Caenorhabditis elegans: one gene and its partners. The protein of the gene in region 4 interacts with the protein of the main gene of each other region in a pairwise test. Each region holds a gene or a part of one and is shown on either strand. Other genes may lie near its edges.

Region 1 (7,901 bases), on a different chromosome or scaffold from region 4:
TTTGTAAAAAATCGATATTTCCGCTGGGAAAATCGATAATTTTGGAAAAAAAAATTAAAAAATCAGCCGAAAATCCATAATTCATTAAAAATCGAAAAAATCAACTATAATTTTGAAGAAAAATCGATATTTCCGCCAGGGAAAATCTATCTTTTTTTACAAAAAAATTACTAATCTGCTGAAAAAAATCGATACCAATATGACCTTTTTTCTGGGGAAAAAACGGCAATTTGCCAAAAAAAAAATCAATATTTGAAACCCAGGTATTGTAATAGAAAATCGATAGTTTTGTGGAGAAATCAATTTTTTTCAGCATTAAAATCGGGTTTCCCCCAAAAATCAAAATTTTTCTGAAAAATCCCATAAATTTCAAATTTCCAGCCTCCCACCGAGCCCATGCCTATCCCATCTGACATTCTTCTCAATTGCCGGCACTCAAATCGCCTCTGTCTCCGCCGTGATGCCCTTCTTCCAGACAATTCCCTCTCTGGATCGTCTTGTCTTCTGTGAAACTCCGCTCGTTGAAAAAACCGAAGAACTTCGTGCTCAGCTCCCTGGAGTTCGTCTCATTCCGCACTGGTTGTGAAGACATTTTTCGGAATTTTTTTCACCTTTTTTTTTGTGATATTTCTTAATTATTACCTGTTCTTCTTATGTATTGTTGTGGACGGAACGTAAACCTGAACTTTATACAGACGTGACCTTTGGGTCATCATGAACTTATCGCGTAAGCGACCTCTCTTTATAATTCATTTACTTCTTACACTTCTTGTAATAAACTACTTCTCTCCTTGTCTCTCGCTCAATACACAACATGTATGTATGATACATTATCGATTTTTGATTTTTTCTATATAAATTTCAGTATTTTCTTTTGGTAAACTCTCCCTTTTGCAAAAAATGGCGAATTTTGCTTAATTTTCGTGCTTTTTCCACAAAAATCATGGAAATCGCTTAACATTTCGCGTTTCTGGTTCCCCGCAAGTGATTTTCCAATTTCGAAATTTTCACATTTTCCAGTCCCCGCTGAAAAAATGCGTATTTTCAGGTTTTCAGATCCCCGAAAATCACTATCCACAAAAATAATCAGAAACGTGGGCGGAGCTTCGCAGGCCACGCCCATGGAAATGTTTCGAAAAAAATCTGTAAGACTCAAAAATTCGGTTTTTCTAATTTCAAATTTTCAAACGGCTTTAAAGGCGCACAGAAATAGGCCATGCCCACAAAATGGGCAATTTTCGTTTCTTCTCAAAAATTTTTAAAAACTTGATTTTCTCCATTTTTCTAGTTTTAAATAGCGACTTTAAAGGCGCATAGAAATAGGCCACGTCCACAAAATATACATTTTCCAAAAAAATTCTGAAAAATTACACAAAATTCGGATCTTCTGATTCTAAAAGTTTGAACAGAGTTCCACAGAAATAGGCCACGCCCACAAAATTAACAATTTTTTTTCTTCACACAATGAGAGAGTGCAAAGAAAGAAGAGAGTACAGACAGAACGTGCAAAGTCGCTCTACGGATGATATGCGGGAAATTCAGAATGTTCATCGATTTGGTTACGACACTGTTCTTTTATTAATTAAATTTTAAAACGCGAAGAAAACCCCATTAACTCAGGATTTTTTTTTACAAAAACGATCAAAGTTTTGGTAGTTGAGTAGTATGCCTCATGACCCAAAAATATTTCCAGTACGTTTTCCATTAAAAGATTTTTCAAAAAAGTTAGTTTCCAGATTATAAACTAACAAATTTTAGGTAATTTTTTAAGCCGCTACATTTTTTCTAAAGAAATTTCATTATGAAATTCGGTGTTATCAGACAATTTCAAAAGTTATAAAGCAATAAAAAGGGGTCACATATATTTTTTTTTTTCGAAGTGGTTAAAATTTACGGGAAAGGTATACTACACAAGTATCAAAATGCCATACTGCTTTTCAATATTGTACTTTGTTTAAGTATCACAAAAGATGTACACTAATGACGAGCTCACGGAATTCATGGATTTCCTAGTGGAACAGACAAAGGATTCCATCTATCCATTGGTGGCAAAAAAAGTATTCAAAAAATTTCCCAATCGTCGTTTGATCCCGGAAGATAAGCGTTACCCAAGGTAAACAGACCTGGACTTGGCTTTTGTCATCAACTTTTTTGTTTAGATTTTGCTCACATTTTGCACCGAAAATGAACGAATTTAATAAGTACAGTATTGAGGAACGAATTCGATTGATGTATGCATTACGTGGAAAAGTTGAAGATGATTTTTTGACAAGGTGGGGAATAGTAATGGTGGTGAGAAAAATGAGGAGAGTGTGACCAAATATTATCGTAAAAAACTATTTTTTTCCAAATTTTATATAATTTTTTAAAATTCGGATACCGTATATTCTCTATTAGTGCGGCACCCCCATCGCTCACCTTTGACGTCATATGTCTTGATTGATTTTGAAGATATTAAGACCTTTTAAAACATTAAGCATAGAAGGAGTTTTAACAAACATTTCCGTAGTTAAAGACTTTTTACCAAAATCAAAGGTGACCGAGATATGAGCTGTCAAAGTTGAGTGGTGGGGTGCCGCACTAATAGAGAATATACGGTACTTTTCAATTTGCATCGAATTCTGAATTACCGCCAAAACTCCTATCGCAGCTTGATCTACAAAAAATGCGGGAATTTGTTCTACAGAAAATACAATTTTAAACTATGCGAAACCAATTTAGAAGTATGTGTCTAAATTCCTGCAATTCTCGGAGATCAGCCCAACATGGGACATTCTGACACCACGTGATTTTTTATTGATTTTTCAGGTTTTTTTTGTGTAATATTACTGGAAATTTTAGTGAGAAATTCAAGATAAATGTAAATTTTTTATTAGAAAGTATGCAAGCAAATCTGTGAAATCAATTTTTTTTCAGGATTGACGTCGCTCTTATTCCGACGCTTATAAAATAATTTACGTTTATCTTGAATTTTCTACTAAATTAGCAGTAAAATTACACAATAAACATGAAAAATTACACGAGGTGTCAGGTTGTCCCATTGCTCCACAGTACATGAAACACGGGGTTCTGGCCTTTCTCATTGAATTTTCGCGCTCCATTGACAATCGCCTGACGGACAACGCGTGGAAAAGTCGTGTACTCCACGCGGACAACAAACTTTAGTTTTACAACTAAAACGAGCCGCGACGCGACGCGACACGCAACGCGCCGTAAATCTACACAAAATCTCTCCGACCCAAAATGGCCTAGTTCGGCAACTTCTGCCATTTCGATTTATGAGGGAAGCCAGAATTCCGTGATGAAAGGCGGGAAAATATTTTTTGAAAATTTGTGACGTCCGTTACAGCGCATTTCGAATGTTTTTTAGAGCGATTTTTCAAATAACTTTAAATTTATTTGAAAAATTATAAAAAATGTCACGAAAATTTGCGCTCAAATTAAAAAATAATTACTCGAAATGCGCATCTTCAAATAATATTTTCCCGCCTTTAGTGTGCGATAGGACAGCCTGAAACCACAAGAAATCAGGCAAAAAAAAAGAATAATCTATCAATAAAAATGAAAATAATGCAAGCGCGTTCCATCAAACATCGAAATATAGGCAAATTGAGAATTTTCCAATTTTCAAAAAAATCATATAAAATTTAGAAAAAAAAAGTTGAATTTTTTACCTTTTCGATATAAAATCTGAAATAAATTACAGAATTCAAGCTCATGGAACTGTTGAGCTCAATGAAAAACATAGAATCTCAAAATTCATCTCGAATGACGGAACATTTTCCTTGGAAGATGATCGTGAACGTTTATCAATAGACACTACAGGACTCGAATTCGTCAGGCTCTTGGACTTCCTTATCGAAAAAACTAGAGATGTCATTGAACCATTGCTGGTGACAAAAAGAATTTTTCAAGAATTTAGCCGACTTGAGCCCGGTCCGAGGCATAAACATCCTGACAAAATGTATAATAGGAAGTGAGATAGGCATACCAATATAGTTTTTGTATTTAAATCATTTTATTTTAGATTTCGCTATAGTTTGGCACCAAATATGAATAAATATAGTGACTACAGTATTGAAGACCGGGTTCGATTATTCTTTGCGTTTGGTGGTGAGATCGAAGACGATTTTCTGAGGACGTAGGTTTTAAAAGATTTTTTAAACAGTGCATGATTTTTTGTGCACATCAAAAATTAAAAAAAAAACGGGTTTTACAAATTTTAAAACAAAATCGATAAATCATGGATTTTCGATATATTTGACCACTTTTTTGTTAAAAGTGGTGTAGTCAAACATTTTCTATTGCCTTATTATATTCAAAATTGTCTCAAACACACAAAATTTCATAATGAAACTTCTTCAAACATCTTTTAAAAAGTCACGGTGGCTCAAAAATGGCTTAAATTGACACCACGTGCCTTTTTGAAAAAGCTCAATAATTAACTAGTATACCCAAAAGTTTCCAGCCGCTTGACAAGTCTGTCAAATTTCACATTTTAACTAATTTTAGGTCATTTTTTGAGCCGCCAAATTTTTTTGGGAAGTTTCATTGTGGAAATTTGATGTTTTCAGACAATTTCGAGTTTAATAAAGTAACAATAGCCCCTTAAACTTCAAAAAACACTATTTTGCAGAATTGAAACCCATGGAACTGTCCAATTGGATGATAAGAGAAGAATCACAAAATATGTCTCCAACGACGGAAATTTCAAATTGGAAGGGATTCGTCGTCATATTATGTCAAAACCAGCTACAGGTCCCGAATACACGAGATTCATGGAGTTTCTTATCGAAACGACTAAAGATGCAGTTGAACCAATGAAGGTGCCCTTAGTATTGAAGGCATTCAAGCGCCAAGAAGGTCGCAAGTTTACAGAAAATGGATATGGTAGCAGGTTAGAAGTACTGTCTTTTGAATTAAAAACATGCTAACAAGGAAAGACTTTATATTCATTAACGGACTTCCATAAACCATAGTACTAGTTCTATTAAAAAGTGTTATTTGTGATCCCTCCGAAACTTTCAGCAGGTTTGGCAGAGCAAGTTGTGTGAAAAATTCCTTGATTCCAAATGCCGTATATTCTCTATTAGCGCTGCATCTCCAGCAGTACTGCAGTCTCTAATAGTGCTGCATTCAAAAAGGGCCTGGAAATTAGTGATACATGCAGCACTAATAGAGAATATACGGTATTTCTTTTGAAATTCCAGCCTCTTTAAAACTCCAACTTGTGAGTTGTTTAAAAAAGTACAAATCTTTAGCTTCAAATTCAGTAGCTCACTTCAATGGTTTTCTAAAGAATTATAAGCTGAAACTTATATATATATATATATCCATTTTTGTATATGTTTTTCATTTTTTCGAACAAATGAAACTATATTATCAACTTAAGAAACAAGTTTTTTGAAACTTTTGAAATGTTATCAAAGGTGGTGTAGGCAAATTTTTTTTATTGCTTGATTAGACTTGAAATTGTCTGAAAACACCGAATTTCATAGAGAAACTTTTTGAAAACTTCTCAAACAAAAAAATATGGCGTCTCAAAAATGACCTAAAATTAGTTAAAAATTTGAATTAGACCAACTTGATTTCGATGGGTCGATGAATCGCCAGATGTGATAAAATTTGGTAACTTCTGGTGGTTCATTAATTTTAAATATACCTAAATCAATTTGAAAACGCGAGAAAATAAAGTTAAATACCCAAAAGTAGAAGGTTACTTTTTTGTGGCCACTTAATTTTTTTGAGAAGTTTTCAAGAAGTTTCATTATGAAATTCGGTGTTTTCACTCAATTTTAAATATAATAAAACAAGAAAAACATTTTGACTACACCAAGTTGCAAATAATTTCTTTTTTGACAATTTCAAACAATTTGAAAATCCTAGATTTCACAAAAAGCTGGCACCAAATATGAGTAAATGGAGCAAATACAGAATCGAAGAGCGCACCCGAATGATGTTTGCAATGAAAGGCAAAGTTGAATCTGATTTTCTTGCTCAGTAAGTGTTGAATTTCCATATTCCATGCACTTGAATGAGTTTTCAGAATTGAAGCATCTGGCAAAGTCCAACTAGATAAAAACCAGCTAATTGTCAAATATACTTCAAATGATGGAGAGATTGAACTGGGAGGAGAGACGAGATTGGTTGAGAAGAAGAAGCGGAAATCTACAAATTACCACAAAATGCACCAAAAAAGACGCAAAATCATTCGGTCTGTCACGGATGAGACGAGTTTGGTTGCGAAATGGAAAAGAAAGTCGGACAGTTACTACGAAATGTACCAAAAGAGACGCAAAATCGGGGAGAAAGAGTTGTCTGACACGGCTGAGGTGGAAGAAGTAGCGCCATACGATGAGGCTCCCAATGAAGATCAAGATACCCAATTAAATCCATTTAATGCAATGAGTAATCTAACGACGAACGGTCCATCATCGAATGCACAGGAGTGGTCTAACGACGAGCCAAAGCAGGAGCCTGTATTCGAGGATATCTTCATTCAAAATCAACACTTTCCTTCAGAAATTGAAGATGTTCCAATTCAAGAAATTCGCCGTATTGAGCCAGACACCAAGCTTGCCTATTTGAACATAGGATCAAGTGTGCAAGGAGCTGTAATTACTGATTCTGGCGAGATCAAGCTTCATAAATTCTTGAATTCGTTAGAACTCATTCTTACTTCTCTCGAATCAGATACTCTAGATGATTTGTTAAACGATATTGAAGGGATTCGTGTTCGAATAAATGATGAGGTAGCTAGAACTTCAAATGTTGAAATAAATTCAGGACTTTTTTCAGATTCTTCCACCAGAGCTAGTGATCACTGCCTTGCAGACGTTCTTATTGGGAATCACTCGCAAGTCTCGATCCGCAGCGTCAGCAGAAAACAAATCATCACACGAGTGTCTGAGAATCTTCAAATATTCATTGCTTTGGCTCAGAAGCCCTTTGCTTTGGGAGATACAACAGAGGGTTGCGGAAGAAATTGAGAGTCACGTTATAGGAGAAAAGGTATGTTTCATTGAACATGTTGGTCTAGGGCTTTCATGTAGGCGTTAAACGCCTGCCTGCCTCACCTTCGTCTCAACCCGCGCCTTATACTTTTGATTATATCGAATTGATAAAATTGATAAAAGAAAATTAAACTTTTGTAAATTCACGTCAAAATACAAAAAAAAGGCAAAAGACCGAGGGGCAGGAATCAGGCTCTAAAACCGTGGAAGCCCTACGTTAGTCAAATAAACCCTAATTTATTTTCAGATTATCCTAGTCGCCGATGTTCAGCAAGGTATTCGGAACATTCTCTTTGCGGTTTCCAGCTAATTAACTTGAAACTTTTCATAAATATCTTATTTATTTTTTACATGAATAATCTTGCTCTACTTCACGAACTTCTATCTTGCACAAAAAATCAATAATTTAATCTTCTAGAAACTAGAAAGTATTCGTATCATTCATTCTTAAAATAAGTGTAGCTACACTTATTTTACATGTATTTAGTAATATATTATCGAAAAACACGATCTCACAATTTTCTCATAATTTATTTTTGATCTACCTTGTTGACTAGACTCCCTTCGACTAAAACAGCCACAACAAAATAACAACGACACCAAGATTGGGGCACACAAGATTGGGGCAAACAGGTAGATCAAAAATTAATTATGAGAAATTTGTGCGATCGTATTTTTTCGATAATATTGTTTTTGAGTCCAGGTCACAAAACGGTGCAGAATGAGATAGTGCAAAGAAAGAAGAGAGTACAGACAGAACGTGCAAAGACGCTCTACGGATGATATGCGGGAAATTCAGAATGTTCATCGATTCGGTTACGACAGGGTTCCTTTATTAATACCCAAAAAAGCCCATAACCTCAGAATTTTTTCTTTTTTTTTACAAAA
Region 2 (7,963 bases), on a different chromosome or scaffold from region 4:
GGTGTATGATTCGAATGTAAAGTCAATCAAAATACTCGTTGTTTTTGCGTGTTTCCCCCTCCCCCTCTAGATGGTGCCTACACAACATCCCATTGCTAAAAAGGAATTTTTTTTTTCTGTGACCACTATTTCTCTCCGAGTTTCTCTTATTTCTTTTTTTTGCAGTTTCTAGTTGTAATTTTCCTTTGTACCCTCTTTTCCCATTTGCACTGAATAAAATGTCTGATTAATTTAAGGACTTTATCAGCTTTTTTCTCATCTTATTGCGATAGGAATTAGGAACTGTTGGGGATTCAGTTCACTTTTAGGCTTCCTGGTAAATAATATAATACGGGAACTCAAAATTCTGAGAATGCGTACTGCGCAACATATTCGAAGCGTATAATATCTCGCAGCGAAAACCACAGTAATTCTTTAAATGAGTACTGTAGCGCTTGTGTCGATTTACGGGCTCGATTTTTAAAATAATTTATTTAACGATAAAATATCAAAATTAATGTAAGAAAAAAAAGAGAAAATATCACGAAGAAACGTAGGAAAAACGAGCCCCGTAAATCGACACAAGCGCTACAGTACTCATTCAAAGAATTACTGTAGTTTTCGCTACGAGATATTTTACGCGTCAAATATGTTGCGCAATACGCATTCTCAAAATTTTGTTTTCCCGTAATATCCAAGAATGCTGAATTTTCATAACAATAAAAATAAAAACTCATTGTCAATAGATCCAGTGTTTATTTATCTGTCTAACCGTCTAAAACTCTAACTTTTCAGTTGACTCTCGCTCGATAGGTATCATTTTCATTAAAATGTTAATGTTTATAGTATTCTTTCCATACAATTTATGTGCCAACCACCTCTTCTTTTTTGCATTGAATCCCCCGATGGCGTCATCCTTCTCGTCCTCACCATTTGGTGTGTCTGTGTCTCTCCGTCCTATCCACTATCTTTCATCCAGATTCCCGGTTTTCCCGAGAAAAAGTGAGAGAGAGAAGAGGCTACTGCGCGGCGACACTGGCTGCGGACACCCTCACTCCTCTACTTGTCTCCATCGATTTTCGCTGGTTCGTCGAAGCCTCGTCGCCAACACAACTTCTTCTTCTTTTTCGTCCTCTTCTTTTCTGCCACACGCTTGCACAGCTTCTTCTTCTCATTTTACGCTGTCTACTTTTTTCGGAGGGGCCATACCCCCACACACAGCTCCTTTTATTTGGCAGTTTTGGCATTTTTGAGGAAAAGTTCTGATAAAATGTATGAAATGACGTTTATTTTTGTGCTTTCCAGTTTAATCTTTTGTTGAACTTGATCGCAACATAAATTTATGTTTCGAAATCTCTCTCTCTTTTTTGGCAAATCCCTGCGGAAATGAGAAAAATTTGAAAAAGAATTGATGATTCAGAATTGGAATTTTTATTTGTATTTATTTTTTTGAAAAAAAAAACAATTTAACTTGCACTTTTATTCTTCAGAGCCAAAAAAGAAATGGCTCAAAAATAGAAAATGATCATTTTTAATCAATAATTGTAAATACCGTACTTCATCTGAAGGCGCAAGCGGTTAATTCATTCCTTGAGTCTCACCACGAATACCGTAGTTACATTTAAAGGCGCAGGCCTCGACGAGTGTTTGTAAGCGCTTTTTTTTAACTTTCAGAGATTTTATTTTTTCGTCATTTTTTCCAAAAACAAGGAAATCAATTCAGTTTTTGATTGAATATGTTTCGAAAAAAGAAAGAACTGTCAATCACACAAATTCACATCAATTTCCACTCGAAAAACGGCACAAAACGATGTGTTTGGAAATGTTCTTTGGCACAAAAATCAATAAAATTGCCAAACTCTTTTGTGATTGTGGTTCCTGCATCTCTCCGTTTCCCCCAATTTACCTGATCACTTTCACGTTCTTCCGTAACTGCTGACGCATTGAATGCACCTGATTTTGTTTGCTTACTGCAGGTAGACCGACGCCAACCCCCCTTGCTGCTCGACATGCAGACTATCGAGAAAGCGCTGCATCAACCGATGCCTTTCACAACCGGCGGGCAGACTATTTCAGACCGGTAAGCGATTTTTCTTTTCGATTTCTTGTTTTAAGTTCGAATTTTCAAGAACAAAATTGTTCTAAATTCAAAATAAAAGTGTATGTTTTCAAAAATTTCAAAAAATCAGTGTTAAAATGTATAAAATAATTTTCAGATTGACAGCTGCAAAGCACTCTTTGGCTGGAAGCCAACTTGGCAAGACAATATGCAAGGCGACTACCGAAGAAGTTATGGCCCCGAAGAAAAAGCATTTGGATTGTTAGTTCTTGATTTTTTTAAAGCAAAAATCTGAAATTCTGCATGTCACAGCTGTGGGAAAATTGATTTTTAATTAATTATTGTCCTGGTTTGAGTTTGTCGCTTAAATTTGCTGATTTTTCACTTAATTTTGTTGATTTAGCCACATTTAGAGCTAAATTTGGTTGCAAAATAAATCAAACATTATGTAAAATTCAATTTCCAGCAGCTGCAAAGTAGGCAATTAGGAAATTTTTCGCTGAAATTAGCTCTCGAAATTAGTTTTTTTTGCCACAGGTTGAGTATACGAATATAATTCCAGACCTCCTTCACTGCACAAATGAGCCAAATGTTTCGATTCCATCAATGGCCAATCTTCTAATCGAACGGACTCAAAATCCAAATTGGACCGTCGTTTACAAGGCTCTCATCACAATTCACAACATTATGTGCTACGGAAATGAGCGATTTTCGCAATATCTAGCCTCATGTAACACGACTTTCAATTTGACCGCGTTCGTGGATAAGGTTGGAGGCGCCGGCGGATATGATATGTCTACACATGTCAGACGGTACGCAAAGTACATTGGCGAGAAGATTAATACTTATCGAATGTGTGCATTTGATTTCTGCAAGGTATGTTGGAGAATATATTCTCTAAATTCAAAAAAAAAATTAAAAGCTAAGTAAATAAAGTAAATTTGTGGCTTTAAATGGCAGAATATAGATCGAATATAACTGTAAAAATTATAATTTTGCAAAAATTGAAAAAAAAAAAACGATAATTATTTTAATTTAAAATCTTGGTATTGCTTTTATTGTCAGTGTTTCAAAAAATTTTCCTTTAAAAATGTGAAATTATCGATTTTTAGGCCTTTTGATATTTTTCTTTCTGATAATATAGTTTTTATCAATTAAATTTGTCTGAAAATTTACAAGCTGTTTTTCATATCAAATTTTTTTTAAATCATGAAAACCCAATCAGCATTGCAAAAAACGCGGGAATTCAAAAAGATTTTTTGCAAACTTGAAAAAAATCATCAAAAATGTTATAAATTTTTTAACAGTTATTTAAAGCAATTTTTTTTTGACTCTACTAATTGACGAAATATGAAATTTTCAGGTGAAACGCGGTCGTGAAGATGGGCTTTTGCGTACAATGCACACTGACAAGTTGCTCAAAACAATTCCAATTCTTCAAAATCAAATCGATGCACTTTTGGAGTTTTCAGTGACCACTTCAGAGCTGAATAATGGAGTTATCAATTGCTCATTTATTCTTCTTTTCCGTGATTTGATTCGATTATTTGCTTGTTATAATGATGGAATTATTAATGTGCTTGAAAAGTACTTTGATATGAACAAGAAGCAGTGTCGTGATGCTTTGGATACTTATAAGGTAAAAAAATACTTTTTTTTTCAATTTAAAAAAAAAAAGAGGTCTTTGAAACTTAATTTTCCAAATTTTCAGACATTTTCAGCACAACAAGTTTACATAAACTTTGAATTTTCGAATTTTATGCAGATTTTAGTTTTTTTTTTGCGGGAAAAAGTTATGAAAATTTGATAAATGATTCTTAAATTCAATTATAAAAAATATATCCTGTTTGCGCGGGAATTAAAAAATAATTCAGATTTTTCTAATGTTTTTTTTCAAAATAAAAAAAATTGAACATTTCAGAAAGTTACAAAAAACCGATTTAATCGGAAAAATCGGTTAAAAATTTTTATGATATTTTTTTCAATTTTGTAAAATAAAATCTGGCTTTTTGATTTTTTAATTTTCGGATTTTATGCAGATTTTTTTTTTTTTTTCAATTTAAGAAGCTTCGATGTCAAAAATTAAGAAGAACACAAAAATATTAAAAATTTCATTTCCCTAAAAACTAATAATTTTCAAAAATTTTGCAGTCCTTCCTCACCCGACTCGACAAAGTTGCCGAATTCCTTCGCGTCGCCGAATCCGTCGGAATCGACCGTGGAGAGATTCCAGATTTGACACGTGCTCCAGCGAGTCTTCTCGAAGCACTTGAAGCTCATCTCATCCATCTCGAAGGAGGAAAAGCTCCACCACCAACTCAACAACATGTTGCACCACATCAATTCACCACTGGATTCGCATTTTCTCAACAACCACAACCGGCACTTGGTGACGCTGAACGACAACGGTATATTGAGTTGGAACAAGAGAGATTGAGACAGTTTGAAGATCAGAAGAAATCGATTAATTCTGCAAATCCATTCGCAAATGATGTCGCTTCGGCTGCACCTGCTCCAGCTACATCAGCTGCTCAGCCGGATCTTTTGGATATGTTCCAATCATCGGCAGCTCCAGCTCCTCAAACGGCTGATGTGACGAATCCATTTGGGAACTTTGCAGCTCCAAGTGCCTTCCCAACGAATGGTACGTTGAAATTTTCCGAAATTAAAGGAATTGGCCTCAGAAAAAGATCGAATTTCATAAGGAGACTTTTCAAAAAATTTAACAAAATTTTTTATGCCATAGGAAAATTGAAAAATTGAAAAAAAAATATTTTTTAAATAAAATTATGCTGGTTAAAAAAAAAACATAATTGTCTTCTAAAAAGAATAAAAATTGCCAAAATTTTAGACTACTTTACGATAAATTTTTTTTACGGTTTTCAGGGAAAATTGAAAAATTGAAGATCGAAAAATCCAAAAAAAAATTTAGAAACTTTTTTTAATAAAATTTTGTTCAAGTTACTTTGTAAAAACCATTTCAAAAACATCTATTTTTATTCTGAAAATATGAAAAATCGCCAAAATTTAAGATTTTTTCGAAAAAGTAGAAAAAAAATCGAAATATCGAAATTTTTTTCTCTCTCATATCGAATTTTTTTTCTCTCGTTCTTTTAAAAAAATGTTTCCAGAGAAAATCGAAAAAATGTTTTTAAAATTTACAAAACAATTTGTTTTTATAAAATTTTTTATGTTGATTTAAAAAAAAACAAAAAAAATCTGAAAAATCGAAAAATTTCCGATTTTCGTTTTTTTTTCAATTTTCTTCCTAATCATGCCAACTTTCATGTGCTTCTGCGGCCGGAAATTAATTTTTATTTGATTATTTCTCCATTTCGGTTACTTTTGTCACTTATCCTACGGTTTTTCCGTTAATTTAGCCTCATTTTAAGCCGATGGCTGCTAAATTTCGTTTAATGTACCTAAATCGATGAAAAATATGCAGAATAGGCTTGAAAAATCGGGGATTTTAGCTGAAATTAAGCTATTTTGAACAGTCATGAAAATAAATAATTTTTTGAAATGTCTCGTTATGAAATTCTTTTTTTTTGTTGGTAATTTTGAATATTTTTAAAAAATCAGAAAAAAATATTTCGCCTTAAAATTTAATTGCTTCACTAACATTTAACCCTTTGTTTCCACAATCTATGTTTCTCTCAAATCTTCCTTTGTTTTTTTTTTCATTTCACCTATGTTTTAGTGCCACCACCAGCAGCACACTCGGCTCCATTTGGAGTTCAACCAGCACCGCAACATTCAGCTGCACCATTCTATGCGAACCTTCATCAAGCTCCTCCAATGCAATCGCAAGCTCCAAATGGTGAGTTGTGGCGTTGTGTGTGTGTGTGTTGATTTGCATGTGTGGTTTTTTTTGCTTGGAAAATAATAATTTTTTAACTTAATAATTGGGGAAAAAAATAAAAAATTAATCGAAAAAATTATTAAAAATGCGCTGAAATATCGGTAAAAATAAGAAAAAAAGATTTTTAAAAAATCGGGGAAAGTCGAAAATATTTCCGAAAAATTAGAAAACGAAAATTGTCGTTTTTTCTATATTTTATAAAAAAAATATTATAGGCGGAATTTTTTTGTTGAAAATTGTAAATTGACACTTTAATAAATTTTGAAAAAAAAATTTTTTTTTACATAAAATTCAATTTTCGATATTTCTATATTTACCTAGGAATTTTTCAAAAATTAAAAAAAAATATCAAAAAATCGGATAATTCATTTATTTTTCCTCTAAAATACTCCAAAAAGTTGTTAAAAACTCGAAAGTTTTAGATTTTTTCAAATTAAACATTTAAATTTTCTCTTAAAAAAACGTATACTATAATATCAAAAATTGAAATTTTACGTTTTTCAATCTTTAAAAAAATATTTCCAATGTGCCTCTGAAAACGCCAAAAAACGTTTAAAAAATTATCTTTTCGATTTAAATTTTTTAGAAAAGCGCTTTTAAAAAATTCTAAAAACCGAAATTTTCGATTTTCAACCTCTAAACAAAAATTCTCAATTTATTTTTTTCCGGGATTTTTCAATTTTGGCTTCTTCTTTTAAAATAACTTTTAAAAAGCATGTTTTGGTGGTTCTGAATATTTTCTCCTCCGTCTTGACGTCGTCATCTTCTCGTTGTACCTCTGGAAATTAGAAATATACCAAATAGAAAGTGTGGCAATTTAAGAGCCCGAAAACCCATTTATAACTGCTCCCGCGGCACCACAAATGCACAATGCGCCGCCCGTCCCACCACCACCAGCATCTCAGGGGGCTCCAGCTCCTATCAATCCTTTTGCTGATCCTTCAGCTACTGCTGCTTCTTCAGCACAACCGTTTGGGGATCCAGGTGAATTAACTCACACTTACTTACCTTTCGATTTGTTGCTAAAAATACACGGCTTTCTTTTTTTATAACAAAAGGGAATTTTTTCTGAAATATACTAAAACTGGTCCGACGCGACCAAATTTAGCATCGAGACTTCTCCAAAAATTTATAAATTTACAGAAAAAAGAGCCAAGTTTCGTTAAAATTTGAAATTTCTCAGATTTGTTTCAGTCGTAGCAGCTGGAATACATTTTTATTGAAAAATCATCTTTCATCGCATGTTTTGGGAGTTTGAACCGTCCGAAATATGCAATAGAGGGAGATTTTTCATTTAAAAATTGTATTCCAGCCGAATGAAACGATTCTGGGAAATTTTAAATTTTAACGAGAAAAGTAAATTTTTGAGAAGTTTCAGTCTATTTCCGCAAAAAAAAACTCATTAACTCTACTTCAACATTAATACAGTTTTACAGTTTTTCATAACCACCCCACATTTCAGATGACTTCAAATTTGAACAAAAAAATGTAAAAATTAAAATATTAATTCCAGGTCATCAAGCTGCTCCATTCGGATATCCAAATGCTCATCCAGATGATCTTGCTCGAATGACTGCACAAATGTCATTGAATCAGCAGGGGTAGGATTATTTTTGTCAATTTTAATGCAATTTTTGTTGCAATTTTTTTCGTGACTCACGACACGAACGAACCACTAGGGCTAGATTATACATATTACCTTTTACAAAATTTCACAATTTCTAAAGAAAATCGAAAAATCTTGCCTAAAAATATCTTAGTTACAGAGCACCGGCCGGCTGGAATACCACAACTTCTGCCGTCTCAAACAATCCGTTTGGAGCAACGTCGGCTCCTCAGCCAATGTATACGGCTCCAATGGGAATGTATCAACAACCATTTGGTGCTCAGCCAATGTGGAATCCTGCGATGGGTTAGTTTATCGAAAAAACGAGGAATTTTTTTAAAATTAGAATCTCGGAACAATTGAATTTTTATCTAATTTTTCACAATATTTCAAGATTATTTTAAATGTGAAAATCGATTTTGAAGCATTTTTTGTTAATTTTTGCTTCATTTTCGAA
Region 3 (4,059 bases), on a different chromosome or scaffold from region 4:
ATTTTTGAACGAGAGGCAATTTGTCTGAAAATCTGGAAAAAAAAAGTATTTGCATCAATTGCCCTTTTGTTGCCATTCGTGAAACTTGCACACTCAGCAGCAAGTGATTCCTCCAGCCCACACGTTTTCGGCGCAAAAGTGTAAGTGATAAGAGCTTCAACTGGTACCTCCTGGAACCGAGGAGCTGACAGTGCTGCTCTTTTTGGCAGAAACTAGCGAATGAGCACAAATGCACTTTTACTTTATCTAGGTTACTATAACCGATGCTTCTTCTATTACCTTTACTTCCTCCATTTTACTCCTAAAAACTGCTTGTCATGTGTTTGAACTGTGCGGGGCCGCCTTGAGGTCCTTTCCGACCATTCTGTACCAGGTTGTTCCTATTTGGATTTCCTCGAAGAAGTTGAGGGCGCGAGAAAAAACCGAATGGCTGCAGGAGACGCCGCGGCGATGGTGGTGGTTACGCAAACTGTGCTTGAGCAAACATGTGCCTGAATTGAAAAAGAGAAGAAGACGATGACGATTAGGAACAAGAAGGCATTGAAGACGTTGAAGAAGGTCATCTTTGAAATTATGTTCAAATATGTTTTGGTTCTAGTTACCCTAGATTTCAAAAATACTTGAAGTACTCTAGAAACCCGAGTTGATATTTGTAAGGTTTATGTTAAACTCTACGTCATATTTTGAGTAACTGCCTACCGTAGTTTTTACACTTATTTGAAAAGAAAAAAGCACCTAGCTACTTTTGTAAGTTCATATTCATTTTAGGGCTAACTTACCTGTGCCTGGTAAAAGCCCACAAGACGTCTAGAATTACTATTGCAGTCTTTTCAAATACGTTCTTTTCTGGAATGGTTCTTGTTGCCCTGGATTTCAAAAATTCTCTAGAAATCCGAGTTGGCAATTTCATGCTCGGAAAGTGCACTTTTTTTCGAAAGATGATCGCTCTCAATAATTAACCTTCATAATACACATCATACTCTTCTTTTTTGCATTCACTTACAGTAAGCACTAGATATCTCGGAATACTCTAGTTGGGTTTGAAAATCTCCACGGTCCCTTTTCTATTTTTCTAGCCGTCCCCTATATCCACCTACAGTAGCCTTTGCGCCTGTACCTCTGCAGCACTATGCCTAACTGGGAGCAGGTGAGCCAATACCAAATAACTTTCCCAAAACTCTTTCTCCTCCCATCAACGGTCATCCGATCTCAATATGGCCACGTCATGCTCCAACTTCACGTACGCTTTGGCTCAAAACGAGTTCACTGACCGAACTGTTTGTCCAACCAAAACCTTGTGGCCGAGCGCAAGAAAGAGTTGTGTGTTGCTGATATTTTGTAAAAAGTAAACGTATCCTCTTCCTCCTACTGCTGTTGCTGTGAAAGTCAGTCAGCCCCGGAAGTGAACAGTTCGCTGATGCGACGACCTCCCACCCTTCGGCCTCCTCCTCTTTTTCCCCCAACAAAACTTGTGTCAACATACTGTGGTAGGAGCGAAAAGGTACCGCGCGCCCCATCCGCATTTTGCCATATCCATTCCTTCCCGAATCGGCGCTTGCTTCCTGGTGACCCTTCCCTTATCTTGGAGCAACTTTCACTTTTTCCACTTCTTATCTCCAATTCTCTCGTCTTTCTAGACAAAATAGATATCAGAATGTTCCTCCAGTTCCAAGTACATTGATACTTTTTCTTTCTCCAAATTTTCCCACACCTTCTTTTCATTACTTTTTCTCATTCGTGGTCTACTCTTTCTTATTTTTGATCTCGGTTCAATATTAGAATCTGCAAACTTAACAACTGAAAAAATAACATTTCTAAACTTACTATAACATTTCCACTTTTTAATTGCATTCTTTAAATTTCGTAAATTTAAGATGAATTGTGAATCGTTGCTCACTGCCCTTGACGTATCCACTCTACTCTCAACTCTTTCCTCACCTGAAAAAGAACATCGTCGTAAAAGACGACGTGGTGAAGTAGCCAATCCATCAAACACTCTTGATGCTCTTGTTGCTCGCAAAGCCGACGATCAACCATTTGAAAAGAGATATCTAAGTGAACAAGAAGCAATTGAAGGACCAGATGATGAGATTGAAATGAAAAAAATGGAATTGGATCCTGATGTATCTACACGCACCTGCTCTACCTGTGGTTACCAAGGAAAATGGGTGTCTGAGATGATTCGTCATAAGAGAGTTCATACCAGTGAAAGACCATTCAAGTGTCGTTATTGCTCCAGAACCAGCAAGTGGAAGGCTGACCTTATTCGACATGTTGCAAGTGAGTTCATATTACTTTTCTATTACTTTAGGTATTTGAATTCGCTTTAAACCTTTTGTAATTCTGTCAGATTTGAAGTTTGGCAGCTTAGAACAATTTTTGAAATGTAATCAATTAGCTTCTGCTATACCTGAAAATGTATTCTCCAACCTCAATAATTTCAGAAACTCATGGAATCCGTGTTGTCTCCAAATACAGCCGTTCGAAAGTCTTCGATGCCACCAACAGTTCAATGGATTCTTCGTGTTCTTCAGACTCTGATCGATGCATAATTTCTGAAAAGAGAACAGTGTTCTATCGTTGCCAATTGTGCTCATTTGAAGATGAAAGAGTATCTGTATTGAACAGTCATGTAAGCCATCTTCACAACACCTCCCCATGTGTTTGTCGATGTGGCGCTAAATTTGAAGATGTCCAAGGAGCACTTGCTCATTCCAATGGTCCATGCTCCCATGTTGATATGATTTACAACGTTATGCCAACTTATGAGAAAGGTAAACCATAATTTTAAATAGTTTAATTTCATGATTTAAATTCCTTTTTTCAGCATCTCCATTATCCCCGTGCAGAAGCGAATCCTCATCAGACAGCGGAATTCAGACAGATCCTGAAGAAGAAGCATCGATTATTACATCATCCCTACCAACTCCTCAACTTGGATCATCACCTCTTCTGTTGTCACCAACACTTCCAGTCACTCCATCTTTCCTTCCAGACATTCAATCAGCTCTGCTGAGCCTTCAGCCAAATCCATTAATGTCATTATACTTGGCATCTCTCCTACAATCTTCCTTGTTGAATAGTCCAACTATTCCAACATCTTTTCCACAAATCATCCCAACTACGATACTTACACCTTCTCAACAAGATGAGATGGTTGACGTTGAGATGTAATTCTTAAGATCTTGAATCCATAATCTCAAAATTTATAATTAAAACAATTTATCACTTCTTTACTTGAATATCTCAGGTTCATATACTCGAACCAATATATTTTCTGTTCTACTTAGCCAATCACGCACACAAACCCCAAAAAAACCCCAAATCTTAGGTATCTACTCACATACGAATCTCGTCTCAACTCTCAGCTTCCTGGTGAATTCATATTTTCTTTGCTAATTTTATTTTCCTTATCTGTTTCTACTATACGAGTCATGTTTCTATCACACATCCCTCCATATTTCTCTATCACATTTTTCACCGATTTCTCTTTTTTTCGGGATTGTTCTTATTTATATCGTTACGAATATTTGGAAATATACGCTTGTTTAAAAAAGTATTATCACCACTGCATAAACTCATATTTTAAGCGATATTATTGATTTGTATTTGCTCGGCATTTAGTGCCTCCTTTCTCCCACCTTTTGAGGTCTTCTCACCTTCCGCCCACCTTTTTGCCACCTGCTCCCCACCTTTTGTAAAAATATCACAATTATTCAACAAATACTCGAAATTCAGTCGCGTTTGCCACCTTTCTCCCACCTATTGTGGTCTAAAACAGCAGCGGCAGCGTTCTGGTGACACCAAAACATGTATTTGTGATTTACAACAAAAAATCTCGATAAATAATTTTGAAAACAATAATTCTTACATTTCAAAATCTGCCTACACCAGACCTGGGAAACGCTTATTTTTCCTACCTCATTACTGCCAGTTCACTAACTTGCTTCTTATCTGGCCTGCCTACATACCTTCTTTGTTCCTGTCACGTCCGATTTTCCTTGGTTCGTCTAATTTCTTATTTTATCTAATTTATAAAACTGAATGTTTTTCTACCCG
Region 4 (4,889 bases):
TTGATATTCAATCATGATGCTTTGAAGATTTGACCAGGCGAAGTGAAGCATGTAAAGGGAGACTGACCAGCCACCAATGAGGATCGGAACTCCAATTGTTTTCTGAAAATTTGGAGTTTTTTGATGAATTTGCCAATATTTAGCAGAACCTAATTTCCCATACCTTCGGCGCAACACGCCACACAATAAATGCCACCAAGAGCAGTGAAGCGAGCAATCCGAAAGAACATCCACTGGTGTAGTAGAAGACGACATTTCTAACGAGCTTGCTGGCGAGCAAAAATAGCACGATTGCTCCGACGTAGACACCAACACGGAAATAGTTGACTTCTGGAAGAATTTGTTTAACGATTTTTTAAAAATAAATTCAATTTAATACTAACTCCAAATTAAAACCGATATTTCGTATGGTTCAGTTGTGGAGACGCCGACGATTGTGTCATTGAACGGATTTAACTGATGAGATCTGCAAAATTTAGTTTAATTGTTGGATTTTTCAGAATATTTTACAGCTAGAGTTGGGATACCCGAAAATCCGTGACTTTCTGCAAAATCTTCGATGAATTTACTAAAATCCTAGCAGAAACGCAAAAGTTTAATCGAATTTTAATTAAAATTAGACGGAAAATTCGGAATTATTGGCTTTCTTCTAACTTTGGGTCTGCTAAATATTTAGCATACCCAACTTTGGTGTGCTAAATATTTAGCAGACCAAAATTTCCACGTTTCTCTGTTGCACATTTCTATTTATCAGCGAAATCCAACAAATTTTTGCTGATTTATCATAAAATCTGTGTCTTTTTCGCGGTCCAAACCTCAAAAGTGCGGCTTTCCGTAAAATTCCGAAATAACGATTGTCATTATCGTAAAGCTGTTGAACAGTTGTGCAGTTTGTACCCTGAAACAACTCCATTTTATATTTTCGCAAGCATTTCCCGAGAACCTACCTGATAAAACTGATATTGATCCGCATTTGTCAGATTAGTCTGCAAAAAAACATCGGTAAACGCGTATATCGCGTTGTAAGGTAGTGCTTTCTGATAGAAAAAGTCGAGATTGTACGAGTAAAGCTTGGCGCCGACACGAAGGACCTGGTTTAGAGCTGAAAATTATTTTTTTTTTAATTTTGAAACTTTAAAAAAGTCTTACCTGCCGGTTTTTGCTCACAATCCTCGAATTTATAGGCCAAGCTACCCGCGACGAGTAGTGCGAGGGTCAGTAAGCGCATCTGCGCCGAATTTTTGCTGAAAATTCAGAAATATTTGTTGGAAAATTAGAAGATGGGGAGAAATTCAACCGAAATTCAGAGAAAAAACGTGAAAATTCACATGAAAATTCGAAATCTAGGTTTTCGCGCTGCCGGGTCCCGCCACGAAAGTATTCTGTGGACTCCTCGTGGACAACTTTCAGTTATTTTGTTTTGTTATCAATTTTTAGTTAATTTTCGAAAATTTCTGGAATTCGATTCCAAAATCAGAAAAGAATGATTGAAAAATTCGAAGAAAATCGAAAAAATTGTGAAATATCGAAGGAAAGTCGATATTTATGAACTAAACTTCGCCAAAAATTGATTTAAACTCGAAAAATTAACGATTACAATAAAAAAATGTCATAAATTTTAATTTAAATACGTTTTATCAAACCTGAAAAAATAAAATTTAAATTCAAATTTCCTTGCAACGACACTCCGCCGCACGCCTTGTTTAACCGAGCCCCTCTAAATTAAAAGGTTCCCCCTTTGTTTTACACTAAAGTGCTCATTTTTTCGCTTTCAATTGATTTTTTGACAGAAATTTCGTGTATTTTTACGAATTAGTGCTGAAATTTGAAGAAATTTGAAGAAAAAACCGAATTCCAGATCTCAAATGCCCGACAATTTATCGGCAATATTTGGAACAATACTGGATTATGCAGAGGAAGTAGCAGCGGGGACATCTAATGAGAGTACGTGTTTGAAAATCGAGAAATTGCAAGACATTGAGCAGATAAAAGAGATTCTTGGCGGAAGAATAATACAATTTCGGCGAAAATTAAAGGAATTTTGGTCTGCTAAATATTTCGCAGACCCAAATATAACTTTTTTTTTGAAAATACGGTTTTTAGAATTTTAAGTAGATAAATAAGCTAGTTTAAACATTTTTAATCTTAAAAAAATCAAGTTTTTTATGGTTTTTAAGCAAATTTTAGCTACTTTTGAAAAAAAAAGTGGCAATAAACACCAATTTACTGAAATTCCAGACGACGAAAGGCCTCCACGAACAAGTTTAACGAAAAAGCAACAAAAAGCCGTATCAATTCTGCGGAATTTCTCAACAAACGACCAGAAACAAGAGATCTCATTTCAAGAACTATCACAGAACGTTCTCGACGACTGGGACATTTCAAATATCAAATCTTCGTCGGTTCAGCAACTCGTTGAGCTCCTAAATTTGCCACGTGTACAGGGAGTATTATGGGCGGCGCAGGAAATTTCAGCCGGGCGGTTTGCTCCGCAGCTTCCAGACGTTCCGTTCGAAGTTGACGAGGATGATGGGGTCGCTGTGAAAATTGTGAGGATCGACGGTTTTTGTTCGGAAATTCTATTGAAATTTTCAAAATTTTGGAAAAATTGGCTAGTAAAATTGACAATTTTTTCAAATTTCCACTTTTATAAAATTCTATTGGTCTGCTAAAATTGGCTTGGGTCTGCTAAATATTTAGCACACCCAACTTTGGTCTGCTAAATATTTAGCAGACCCAACTTTGGTCTGCTAAATATTTAGCAGACCCAACTTTGGTCTGCTAAATATTTAGCATACCTAACTTGGGTCTGCTAAATATGGGCATTGGTCTGCTAAATATTTAGCATACCTAACTTGGGTCTGCTAAATATTGGCAATGGTCTGCTAAATATTTAGCAGACCCAACTTTGGTCTGCTAAATATTTAGCATACCCAACTTGGGTCTGCTAAATATTTAGCATACCTAACTTGGGTCTGCTAAATATTGGCATTGGTCTGCTAAATATTTAGCATACCCAACTTTGGTCTGCTAAATATTGGTTTGGGTCTGCTAAATATTTAGCATACCCAACTTTGGTCTGCTAAATATTTAACAGACCCAAAAATTTTATATTCCATTTCATTTTTCTAATTTTTTGTTTCAATTTTCCAGGTGCGAATAGTGCGACGTGGCGAACCCCTCGGTGCAACAATAAAATGCGAACGTGGCAAAGTATACGTGGCACGAATAATGGCGAACGGTGTGGCAGACCGTAGTGGATGTATTCAGGAAGGCGATCGAGTATTGGAGGTCAATGGGATTACTGTAGCGGATAAGGAGCCCAGGGAAATCGTGAAGCTGCTGGATAAATGTGATAATGGAATTGTTAGTGATTTTGTTTTAAAAAATTCGAAAAAACAACAATTTCCTAGCAGTTTATCACGAAAATCAGAGAAAATTTGTAAAAAATCACATATTCGTATCGTCTTGTATACCTGAAAATTGCTAAAAAATTCTGTATTTGTTAAAAAACATTGAAGATGGATTTATTATAATTTAAAAAAAAAACCTGAAATATCAGAAAAAATTTGCATTTTCTCAGTAATTTGTAACTTTTAGCCTGAACTAAAAAAGTTTTTAAGAAAATCTATAAAAATACACGTTTTTTCTCAAATTTCCAATATTATTTTTCAGATAACCTTCAAGCTGATCCCTGCAGAAATAAACCAGAAGTTAAAGCAGAAAAAGTCGTCACATCGGTATGCCCGAGCTTTGGTAAGTGGTTTTTTCTAGTTTTTCTCAGAATTTTAGTCCAAAATTCGCAAATTTTTCAATTTCCAAGTAGAAATTCCGTAAAAATAGCCTAGAATTCTTCCTAGTTTTCAGTTCGACTACGATCCATGGCAGGACAAACGTCATCCCTGCCCAGAAGCTGCAATTTCCTTCCGCGGCGGTGATATTCTAGAGATCCTCGACGAAAAGGACCAATATTGGTGGCAAACTCGAAAAATCGGATTCGGAGCACTGGCGAGGCGGAAAGAGAGTCATGATGACGAGAATCGAGATGATTCCAGTGAGAAAATTGCGCTCTGAAATTCCAAAAATAATGATTTTTTCAGAAAAAGTGGGTCTCGTACCGTCGGAATGGCTACAGTGTCAATCGGAAATTCCAGAAAATGGAATAGATACTTCAGATGATTTTCAGTCATTTTTAGAGGTATAATTTTGGAAAAAGGGTTTAAAAGTGACTTATGACTTCAGAAAAATGAGAAAATTTAATTTTAAAAAAATCTAATTCCACGTGGTTTTTATCCAGATAATTGGAATTTTGGAGATCCAGAAAATTCCACTTTTGCACTTTTTTTCAGAATTTTCTTTAAAAAGCGTAGTTTTTTTTTCAATTTAAACGCTATAAAATATTGGCAACACTAAAGTCCAATCGGATCCTTAAAAATTCAAAAAATCGAAAAAAAAAGTGGAATTTGAGTAAAAAATCTATTTTTTGCGAGTTTTTGAACATAAAAATGGATTTTTCGTTAATTTTTAGGTAAAAAATAAGAGAATTTTCAGTGGAAATTTAGCTAAAATGGCGATTTTTAACGTTCACGACTGAAAATTGTGGGGTTTTTAGCGCGAAAAATCGATTTTTTTGGGATTTTTTAGGTTAAAAATGGGAATTTTCAGTGAAATTTAAGTAAAAAATCAATTTTTTGCGAGTTTTTGAACAGAAAAATGGATTTTTCGTTACTTTTTAGGTAAAAAAAAGAGAAATTTTTTCATTTAAAAAAAAACCAATTACACGTGGTTTTTATCCAGATAATTGGAATTTTGGAAATCCAGAAAATTCCACTTTTGCACTTTTTTTCAGAATTTTCTTTAAAAAGTGTAGTTTTTTTTCAATTCAAAGC

Evidence for each region.
Region 1: the proteins of magu-1 (region 4) and M57.1 interact in a two-hybrid assay, tested with the Caenorhabditis elegans proteins (2 studies listed by BioGRID).
Region 2: the proteins of magu-1 (region 4) and unc-11 interact in a two-hybrid assay, tested with the Caenorhabditis elegans proteins (2 studies listed by BioGRID).
Region 3: the proteins of magu-1 (region 4) and ztf-2 interact in a two-hybrid assay, tested with the Caenorhabditis elegans proteins (2 studies listed by BioGRID).

The regions. Positions count from the first base shown.
Region 1 is NC_003282.8:3,531,682-3,539,582, forward strand, and holds M57.1 (SPK domain-containing protein), read left to right. Parts: upstream 1-1,959; 5' UTR 1,960-1,970; coding exon 1,971-2,113; intron 2,114-2,159; coding exon 2,160-2,273; intron 2,274-3,706; coding exon 3,707-3,976; intron 3,977-4,027; coding exon 4,028-4,141; intron 4,142-4,636; coding exon 4,637-4,897; intron 4,898-5,886; coding exon 5,887-6,000; intron 6,001-6,046; coding exon 6,047-6,752; intron 6,753-6,798; coding exon 6,799-7,011; intron 7,012-7,260; coding exon 7,261-7,323; 3' UTR 7,324-7,382; downstream 7,383-7,901. Other genes in the region: M57.2 (Geranylgeranyl transferase type-2 subunit alpha), read left to right, coding at 382-586.
Region 2 is NC_003279.8:3,799,730-3,807,692, reverse strand, and holds the start of unc-11 (Phosphatidylinositol-binding clathrin assembly protein unc-11), read left to right. Parts: upstream 1-1,953; 5' UTR 1,954-1,988; coding exon 1,989-2,059; intron 2,060-2,195; coding exon 2,196-2,299; intron 2,300-2,600; coding exon 2,601-2,914; intron 2,915-3,401; coding exon 3,402-3,677; intron 3,678-4,189; coding exon 4,190-4,682; intron 4,683-5,738; coding exon 5,739-5,858; intron 5,859-6,722; coding exon 6,723-6,884; intron 6,885-7,413; coding exon 7,414-7,501; intron 7,502-7,660; coding exon 7,661-7,812; intron 7,813-7,963.
Region 3 is NC_003279.8:7,289,398-7,293,456, forward strand, and holds ztf-2 (Zinc finger protein ztf-2), read left to right. Parts: upstream 1-1,874; coding exon 1,875-2,280; intron 2,281-2,444; coding exon 2,445-2,774; intron 2,775-2,827; coding exon 2,828-3,174; 3' UTR 3,175-3,555; downstream 3,556-4,059. UniProt on the Caenorhabditis elegans protein: Transcription factor. Represses gene expression, probably via binding to DNA consensus sequence 5'-[AT][CT]TTCC[AC][AG]-3' in promoter regions. May play a role in pharynx morphogenesis.
Region 4 is NC_003281.10:468,672-473,560, reverse strand, and holds the start of magu-1 (MAGUK family), read left to right. Parts: upstream 1-1,858; 5' UTR 1,859-1,865; coding exon 1,866-1,944; intron 1,945-2,238; coding exon 2,239-2,549; intron 2,550-3,153; coding exon 3,154-3,366; intron 3,367-3,675; coding exon 3,676-3,756; intron 3,757-3,867; coding exon 3,868-4,054; intron 4,055-4,100; coding exon 4,101-4,198; intron 4,199-4,889. Other genes in the region: nemp-1 (Nuclear envelope integral membrane protein), read right to left, coding at 1-102, 164-330, 384-466, 816-898, 948-1,102, 1,150-1,228.